Linked DNA regions of Oryzias latipes. Each later gene encodes a partner of the first gene's protein in a complex. Links are inferred from orthologs where the notes say so. Each region holds a gene or a part of one and is shown on either strand. Other genes may lie near its edges. The genes, in order: gdf11 and fst.

The links.
Region 2: the proteins of gdf11 (region 1) and fst are in contact, whole or in part, in a crystal structure (PDB 5JHW), measured with the Homo sapiens proteins. The link is inferred for Oryzias latipes from reciprocal best matches to the Homo sapiens genes GDF11 and FST. Residues at the interface, in NP_005802.1 of Homo sapiens: Asn299, Leu300, Gly301, Leu302, Glu310, Arg312, Asp328, Trp329, Ile331, Ala332, Lys334, Arg335, Tyr336, Lys337, Tyr347, Met348, Phe349, Met350, Pro354, His357, Gln361, Ile380, Asn381, Leu383, Phe385, Asp387, Lys388, Gln389, Gln390, Ile391; in NP_037541.1 of Homo sapiens: Leu34, Arg35, Gln43, Val44, Leu45, Tyr46, Lys47, Thr48, Arg60, Ser62, Asp72, Asn73, Leu75, Phe76, Met79, Ile80, Leu134, Asp135, Arg149, Gln153, Pro154, Glu155, Val180, Val181, Asp182, Gln183, Tyr188, Val190, Thr191, Asn193.

The regions. Positions count from the first base shown.
Region 1 is NC_019863.2:27,063,835-27,068,257, forward strand, and holds the start of gdf11 (growth/differentiation factor 11), read right to left. Parts: upstream 2,952-4,423; 5' UTR 2,560-2,951; coding exon 2,145-2,559; intron 1-2,144. UniProt on the Homo sapiens protein: Secreted signal that acts globally to regulate anterior/posterior axial patterning during development. May play critical roles in patterning both mesodermal and neural tissues. It is required for proper vertebral patterning and orofacial development.
Region 2 is NC_019867.2:5,754,166-5,758,470, forward strand, and holds the start of fst (follistatin), read right to left. Parts: upstream 3,090-4,305; 5' UTR 2,934-3,089; coding exon 2,843-2,933; intron 1,736-2,842; coding exon 1,538-1,735; intron 1,378-1,537; coding exon 1,159-1,377; intron 1,016-1,158; coding exon 791-1,015; intron 222-790; coding exon 1-221. UniProt on the Homo sapiens protein: Multifunctional regulatory protein whose primary function is to antagonize members of the transforming growth factor beta (TGF-beta) superfamily including activin, myostatin, GDF11 or bone morphogenetic proteins (BMPs).

The DNA.
Region 1 (4,423 bases):
GAAAGCTTGATTGGGTTTGAGGTGCAAAGGGAATAGTGTTTGAAGTCCTCCTTCTATCAGACAGACAGAAAAAGGCACTTTTATTCCTGTGGGATCCTGAAGACGCCACAGGCAAAAAAAAAGAAAAAAGAAGAGATACACTCATTCTCTCTCAACTCTTCCAGGAAAGCTGGAAGAAAAAGAGGGCAAAAGGGGATGAGGGGCTAACAGGGATGAAGGTGGAGATGAGACGGGGAGCAGATGATCCAAACTGCTGGGAAAAAAGATGAGAGGAGGCTTGCTCTAACCTGAAAGATTTGGCTATGAGAGTTGGATTGTTAGCTCCTCTGGTTGGCATGAGCCCGTCAAAATGGTACAGTTAACAGGCTTTATTTAGGTTTTATTTAGCACTTAATTTTGCTTGTGTTTGTGACAACAGAAAAAGGGAAGAAACGTCACAAAACCTGAGCTAATATTATAGCTAACCCTCTGAACTGGTACAGGGCTCCGGAGTTAACTTCTGTGGTAATATAACCCCAAATGTGATGCATGTAGGTCCTTAGAGGTTAATGAATGTTCTTCCCAACTTTCTAACTTTTCTCTTGTTTAAAAAGAATAAAATTGAGAAAGAGCTTCTATTATAATTTAACACATTTTTATTAAATATTACTGAACTACTGATCAAGGTTTGACTCCTTGATGTCTGAATTTATGCAGAAATGAGAATAAAATCACTTATGTTTTTGCTTTCAGGGAAGATGCTAATTTTGGAGCTGAAGTGGTTTGTTTCATATTAGCATCAATAGGCGACATGGGGTCAAACATATTGCATAAACAGGACAATTTTGGGCACAAATATGTCTTTTATTGATAAAAATTATCTGTAAGACTGAACTATAAAAAGCAGAAGATAATATGATCTGCAAAAGAAGAGGAAGAGCTGCAGCACACAATATCCACGACAAAGAAGAATCCTTAATTAATATGAGAATAGAATCATGGTGCTATTATAGATTATGGTCCATTAAAAAACTTAGATAGATAGATAGATAGATAGATAGATAGATAGATAGATAGATAGATAGATAGATAGATAGATAGATAGATAGATAGATAGATAGATAGATAGATAGATAGATAGATAGATAGATAGATAGATAGATAGATAGATAGATAGATAGATAGATAGATAGATAGATAGATACATAGATAGATACGCCTCGTGAAGAATATACTGCGTGCGTAAAGGTTGCTGAACCCCTCGATTCGTCAAGAAAAGGTCACACACTCCCCTCGACCCTAAGTGATCCTCTGCCTTTGTGTACCAGTGGTTTAAAAAAAACTAGCTGTGCCTATAAACTTCGCATTTAAAAGGCAAGTGCGACCGAGGGGGGCCCGCTGCATGAGGGGAACAATGGCAGCTTTTTGGACACACTTTTTCTCATTGCGATGAACAGCAGGGAAACCGGTAAAGGCTCCTATAAAAGGCCGATCGAGCCCAGCTGCCGGGGTTCAGCAGTAATTTTATAAAATGTCTCCAAGGGGCCTGCCTGTGGATTTATGGGAAAGTATAAGAGAGCGAGCAAATTGTTGGGAGGCAATAATAACCAGAGAGCCTCGTGATGCGATCATAACTCCAGAGTTTTAAGGTCCACATCATGCAAACGAGGACGCAGAGGGTAAACTGAGGCAACCGTCTGCCAAATGCTCCATTATCATTAATAATGCACTTGACATTCAAACACGCACGCCACGCCTTTCCTGTCCGTCAAACGCGCATGGAACAAACTGAAAGTTTACAGATGGATCGGAATAAATTCTGCGCACTGGGGTGCATCACCAAGCACACAGGCGGTGTTGGTTCTGTCTTTTTTCCTAAGCTCCTTCTCATGATTGATTTTTCAGGTTAACTCATATAATCCTCATTTTGACAGCTGTGGGGAACAGCTGAGAGGGGTCACTTGTCTAATTTTATCAGCCGGCTTTAGACACACAAAGAGAGCCCCAATCTCAATATAAAAAAAGTAGGTGAGGTCACTTGAGTGACCACAGCGGCTCCGCTGTCCGCGCAGCAGGCCTGAATCACTTGAACCGATCTGCTCCACAATTACGCACAGGGCGCATTTGGAGGGACCGTCGCTGCGGGGCAGTAAATAGTTACTTACGCTCTGAGGCCATTGTGATCACGGACTCCGTGGTGGCGTGGTACTCGTCTTCTTCCATAAACTCATCCTGCAACGTCGCGTCTCCTTGGAAGTCGTGATGATCCAGGAGCTGCTGGAGCGGAGGCGCCTTGGGCAGCAGCTGATTGACCACCTCTCGGCTGATGTTAGGTGCTTGTTTCAGACGCAGCTTGCTCAGGATCTGGGACTTGATGGTCTCCAGTCTTAATACTTTACTTTGCTCCCTCCAAACACAGGCGGAACACTCGTGAGAACCTGCGTCCTCGTCCAGCAGAGACAGTCCGGCATCCGAAGGCGTCTCGCTGCCAGGAGGAAGCTGCAGATTGGGCTCATCGCTCCCTGACTTTCCCAGGGAGATGAGCACCACTAAACACAACAGAAAGCTGTACTTCGGCATGACGATGCGCGGACACCAGGAGAGGCAACTTTTCCCCTCTCCCCTCTCTTGTTTCGGACTCGATTTATTCCGTTATATATCCTCTTTCGATTATGAGCCGCTCCTCAGCCTACAAAAGGCACACAATCAGTGACATACATCTAATCCAAAAAAATATGAATCCAAAGATGCTTTTTTAGTAGTGTGTGGCTGGAAAAGAAAAAGAAAATAACAAAAAGGAAAAAAGTGCGTCCCGGCGTGTCACGGTACAAACTGTTTTGGCTGAAAGTTAGGTTATCTGAGTGATGAATGCATAGCCAGCTCACGTGTCGTACAGGTCAGTGGTTGTTTTGGGGTCCCCTGTGCAAACTGATCCATGGAGGTGTGCGTATGTTCAGGGGTGTCACTGAAAAATGTGCAAGTGCGCCTAAAAAAAGGGCCCTTTATATATCACAGCTGCCTGGTGTCGTAATCCGTCTCTATTGGCTAAGATTTCAACAAAAGGCTTTTAGGTCTGTCACCAAGTCAAGAGGGATGGAGCGAAGGGAGGGCGCGCACTCCTGCGAAAGTATAAATGTTTTACAGTGCACAAACAAAAGCTCATTTTCCTCTCATATGAGTTAAAAAGATTCTTTTCTAATCATCTGAGAAGCAAACGTCTTGCAAAGTGGTCCATCTGTCCACAAACACTTAAAATAATGGTGCCATGTGCGCTTTTTTTTGCAGATACATTCATATGTATTGAAATACACAGAAAGACTCTCCAAGCTGAAAAGTAGTATTATTTCGTTCATATTAAAAAAAATAAAGCGTATGTGCTTGAAAAGACATAAAAGCTTGTGACAGAAATTAGGGTTTAAGGCGTGTTAGAGAAACATACAACAAAATATCTGTTTAGGCAAGTTTGCATTTCGTTTGAAAGCTTGGATCCAGTGAAAAAAAAAGAGCACTAATTATTGTTTTAATATATTTTACTGTTCTGCATTGAATTTGTCTCACATTTTTCTCGTAAACATGTCAGGATTTAATCAAAATGTTAAATTCGTTTCTCATACTTAAAGTAATAGAGGATGTTAATTGTATTTTCCCTCTAAATCTTGTAAAGCGTTATGATGTTATCCAGATACTTTCATTTGTGTGCACATTTCTGAAACATCGACTGAATGCTGACACCTGCTGGAAGAAAGTAGAATTGCAGCTTTAGAGCTCTTCCATCTTCACAGCAGCATGAACTTGTTGCAGGTGTGGAGCAACTCCAGGTTTGTTCCTTTATCATTTTAAATGTTGAATTTTCTAGATAACTTTATTTTTATTTTTAAATGTCTAAATAAATGTTGGTAATTGGTCATATGCAGACCTTTTCTAAAAAAAAAAGAAAATTGTGAAAAAGTTTCTCATTTCCATTATTCCGTTCAAAAATGTTAACTTTCAGCTTCAGGGCCCACTGTTTAATTGATTTCAAGTACTTTTTGTTATTATTTTTACATAGCGTGTGGCTCCAGCTCATAAAACCTACAAAAACAGGATTCAGAAGATTGGAATACTCTGGTGGTGCAGTGGTTAGCGCTCTTGCCTTCCAGCAAGAAGGTTCTAGTTCAAATGTGTGAAGTTTGCATGTGCATGAGTGGGTTTTCTCTAGGCACTCCTCCCAAAGTCCAAAAACATGCTTTATAGGTTAATTGGTCACTCTACAGTGTCCCTTGGTATGTGTGGGAGTGATTGTGTGCCTTGTGACAGACTGGCGACCTGTGTATCCCGCCCGTAGCTGGGACAGGCTCTGATGACCCTTGACCCTCAAGGGATATAGAAGGTTAAGAAAATGGATGGATGGAATACTCTGGAGAAATCTGACTAAAGGTTGCTGGGCATGAATGTTTTAAACTGA
Region 2 (4,305 bases), on another chromosome or scaffold:
TCCTGAGTGCTTGACTTCCAGCAACACCCCCTTAGAACAAGCAGCTTGCTTCATGGCACATTCGCTGGGGTATGTGGTGTTGTCGCTGGCACAAACCGACTCATCTGTCCTACTCTCCTGACAGGACTCATCACAGAGCGAGCAGCGGCCCCGGCCCATCCTAGAATCCCACAGACACTTCTTCCCTCCGCTACACTGGATGTCCTCGCATGACTTTGCCTCTGGATGAAGAGACGAGGAAATCATCATCAGTGGCTACTTAGATTCCACACGTCTAAAAACTTTTTTAACAGAATTAGATTAGTTCGGGTTTTCTGTGCATTTATCTGGAAAAAACAAACAAACAGCATCTATCTTATCAGATGCATCAGGAACACAAAGTTGCATTCAGGGTGAGCATTTTTCCAGAAAATACATGGCTCAGATTGATTGTTATCTAGATAGGAAACCATTTGGCCTAAAACTTGCAGCTTTTTCTTCATGGCCCCCAGCTCTCCCCTGTTTTGCTCTCTAACTTCCTCCACTTCGCCTTCACTCTCTCCCATATGGGATAGTGCTGCCAACATCAGGAAATAATAAGATGTCTATCATTTCTTGAGCAAACACAAGCAAGTACCAAACACCCTCTTTCTCTGAGACCTCCTCCCAACTGGAATGTTGGCAGAAACGAGAAGTGCATTACTGCAGAGGTGGCCAGGGAGAAAATGTAGCCACAATCAAAGTGGCTGCAAGGAGGCGCTGTGTCAGGGGGTTCAGTGTGACGCTTTCACATCTCTTGTTACAGACTTACTGATGCATTTTCCCTCGTACGCAACTCCGATAGACTTGCCGAGGAGACAGGTCGCCTTTCTCAGGTGACAGGCGCTGGCATAGATGATCCCGTCGTTTCCACACAGGTACTGCTCAGGTGACGTCGCCTCAGGGCAAAGCCGATTACACATCACACAGTATGCGTTGTTTGTCTGGTCCACGACGCATGTTGAGCTGCCAGGACACAAGACATCACGGCACGTTTCTGGAGACAAAGAGAAAATGATGTCAATGGGAAAATCAATGCAGCAGCCACTCCGCTCTTTCTTCCTGCTCCTCTCACTTGCAGCCTGAAAAGACTCAAAAGTTAATTAAAAAAACATAAATAAATAAATAAAAAACACCTACTCTTGCATTTCCCCTGGTACTGCACGTCCAGGTCGGGGTGGCCTCTGCATTTCGCCTTCAGGAGAGCGCACTCGTCCTTGTAGGTCTTCCCGTCAAAGCCGCAGACCGGTCCTTTCCAGGTGATGTTGGAGCAGTCTGGAGCGCACACGCAGCGCGGTTTACTTCTTCTGTTCATCTTGCATCTCTTCCCAGGTCCGCAGTCAACATTATCGCAGCTTTCTACAAGAAAAACACCCCCGCGTTAAGGAATGTGTGCGTAAAATGATTGACATTGAGTGACACATTGATACTTTACGTTGGCTGAATGCGTTAATCACATAATCGGTTTGATTGGTGGTGTGCTTTAGTTTATGCGAAAAACCAAGGAAAATGAGTGCACCTCCACCTTTGCAAGGTATGCAATTTGGAGCTCCGCCATTGAAGATTATCCACTTAAAGAGCGTGCTGTTGGGAACGTCCTCCTCGGTCCAGGACGTTCCCAGCCTTCCACTCCGGCAGCACTCCTCCTTGCTCATCCCTTGCATGTAGAGGACCTGACATCTCCCGTTCCTTCCCTGCTGCAACCAGCAGTTCCCGGCTGCAAACAGCAACAACATTAAAAGAAAAGAATCTTGAGTATCGCTCGCTGAACGTGTATCACAGACCCAGACACACCAGACACGCAGGCGGATTGTATTATCTGAAACGCTCCCTCCCTCCTCTTTCACCCTCCCGGTGGTATTTTGTCAGATTTTTTTTCCAAGACTGTTAACACTTGCCTATCCCAACTGTGACTGACAGCTCTTACAATGCAAACTTAGAAAAGTAAAAAAAGAATCTTTTTTTCTTTTATTCCAAAAATCTCCTTGTTGCCATTGCGCACAAACTGAATCGTCTAGACAGCGAAGCTCAATCATTACGAAAACCACGGTCTTTACAGCAAGACTGAACAAACCACCATCTCCAACGCCTCACTAAAATATCCCAGACATGTACCAGACACTGACATGTCTGCGACACATGGGGGAATTTAATTCAAAGTCATATGACATAAAAAAACAGAAATGTCAACCTTTGACACATTTTCAAAAAACTATAACAAAATTGCTATAAAATTTGATTTTTATGTTGGTATAATGTGTCTATGACATGATGTTTTATGGTAGATCTCTTGGAATTTGGAACCCCAACATAAATTGAGGTTTGCTCATTTATTTCATAAGCAAAAATAAAAAGGAAAAAGGAAGAAATTCGAGCGCAAAAGCTGAAAGGGTGTGTGCCATAAATAAATAAATAAATATAAACTGCTCATAAAGCTATCTGTGGCCACTCTGAAGTTTGTTGGAGGGCAGGCGACAGCTTCATTAAACACTTTCAACGCTCACATAAAGGTCTTGAAATATGTGCAGATATTTACAGAACGCTGCGTGGCGGCTTCTAGCGCGTGAGCCCGCCGAGGGCTGCAGAAATGTGCCATTTTCCCCACTTTGAAGTCTGAAGCCATTACCACATGGCACCTGTTTTATATAGGGTTAACGCGCACGCCGTCTGGCGCACAGAGTTTTGGTCGTTGGGAGGAAGAAGAACCAGAAGTCACTCTGGAAAGTTTCCCTTTGGCAACGAGATTCCTGCATCCGCGCGTTTAGAGGTTCTACATTAAAACATATTAAAAAAAAAAGTCAGGAGACAGACAAGGAGAGCTTACCTTGAACCTTCTGATGTTCCATGAGGTGACAAAGCCACATGAAGAAGAGAAAAATGCCCGGGTGGAGGTGGTGATTGAGCATCCCAAGCATGATGGAGAGGCAAAGTGAGCCACGTATTTGACACAAGCAGCGCAAAAGTAATCTGCTTAAGGTGGCAGGGCTGAATAAGTGTCAGTCTGAGAATGCAGCCTCTCTTTTTAAATCTATATGGGGTCTCGGGTTGACTGTCTGTGGTGGGCGGTCCCCTCTTCTGTGGGGGTGGGGAGATGTGTTTTTTTTTTTTCTTACCCAAGTTCTTTCAATCCCAGTCAGGTGACATCGTTACAAGGAACTTTCCCTTCCCTGCGCTGAGAGGAGCATGGAAATATTTGTTATGCAAAGCCAGACGTTTGAATCCTGAAGCTATAAGAGGAGTGAAGAAAAGAAAAATATGAAAGTATAACATTTGTTTACTATATGAGACTCGGATTCCCTATTTTTTTCTTGCAATAATAATGTTAACATTAATATTAAAATTTATATTTTGAAGAATTGCGTTTCTTTAAAAGGGTAACGAAACCCATCAGATCATCTCGCAGTCCCTTCAATCTAGGGATAAGATGATTGGTAACTGATATTTGTCCACCAACTGCGGACAAAAGTGTAAATCTTTTGATGAGCTGCCTTTGAGAACATATCCGAGCTCAGACAATAATAGAATTCATAGTAGTCGGCAGCCGCGCGGCTAATATTAGAACAGACAGTTGTTTGGGTTTCTTTCCCGGGTCAAGCTTTTAAATATAATCAAACCTGTTTCCGATGAGACCGAGAACTGGGGTGTTGCGTTTCATTGAATGAAACGCACACACATTTACAAACACACACGTGCGCGCGCGCAGATCCGCTGGCTGGAGCAGACGCGCGCGGAACTCCTTCAGAAGTCCTTGCGCGACCTCTTCGGCGGAACTCAGGTGCCGCGTCCCTGTGCCGCTCAGAGCGCAGCGTCTGCTGCGCGCCGGGAGTTCCGAGGACGCGCCGATCCGCGTCAACACATCACCGCTCTGTCTCGTTTACTTGCAAAATATGAAAGAAAATCCTCCTGAAAGAGGACGATCTCCGACAAGATGCAGGTTGTACCCTGCTTGTTTGAACAAGTATCACTACTAGTACGTTTCCATATTTTCAGAAAGGTTATTCTCAGAAGCACAATCACGCACGACAATCAGGAAACTTGTTGGGTAGCGTGCACACAGGCCCAGACTGGAAGGCACAGTCACCTCCTCAATTCAAGGCGAGGGCTTCATTATGTGCTTCTAGCAGACAGAAATGCTTGGAAATAAAATGTATAATCAAGTTTGAATGTCTACAGTAATTGAATTTTATTGTTAATGAACTAATTGGGTGATAAACTTTGATCACCCCTCCCAATTTTTCCATTCTAAGTTCCAAAAAATGTCAAAAGATTCATGAAATACTCTTTTTT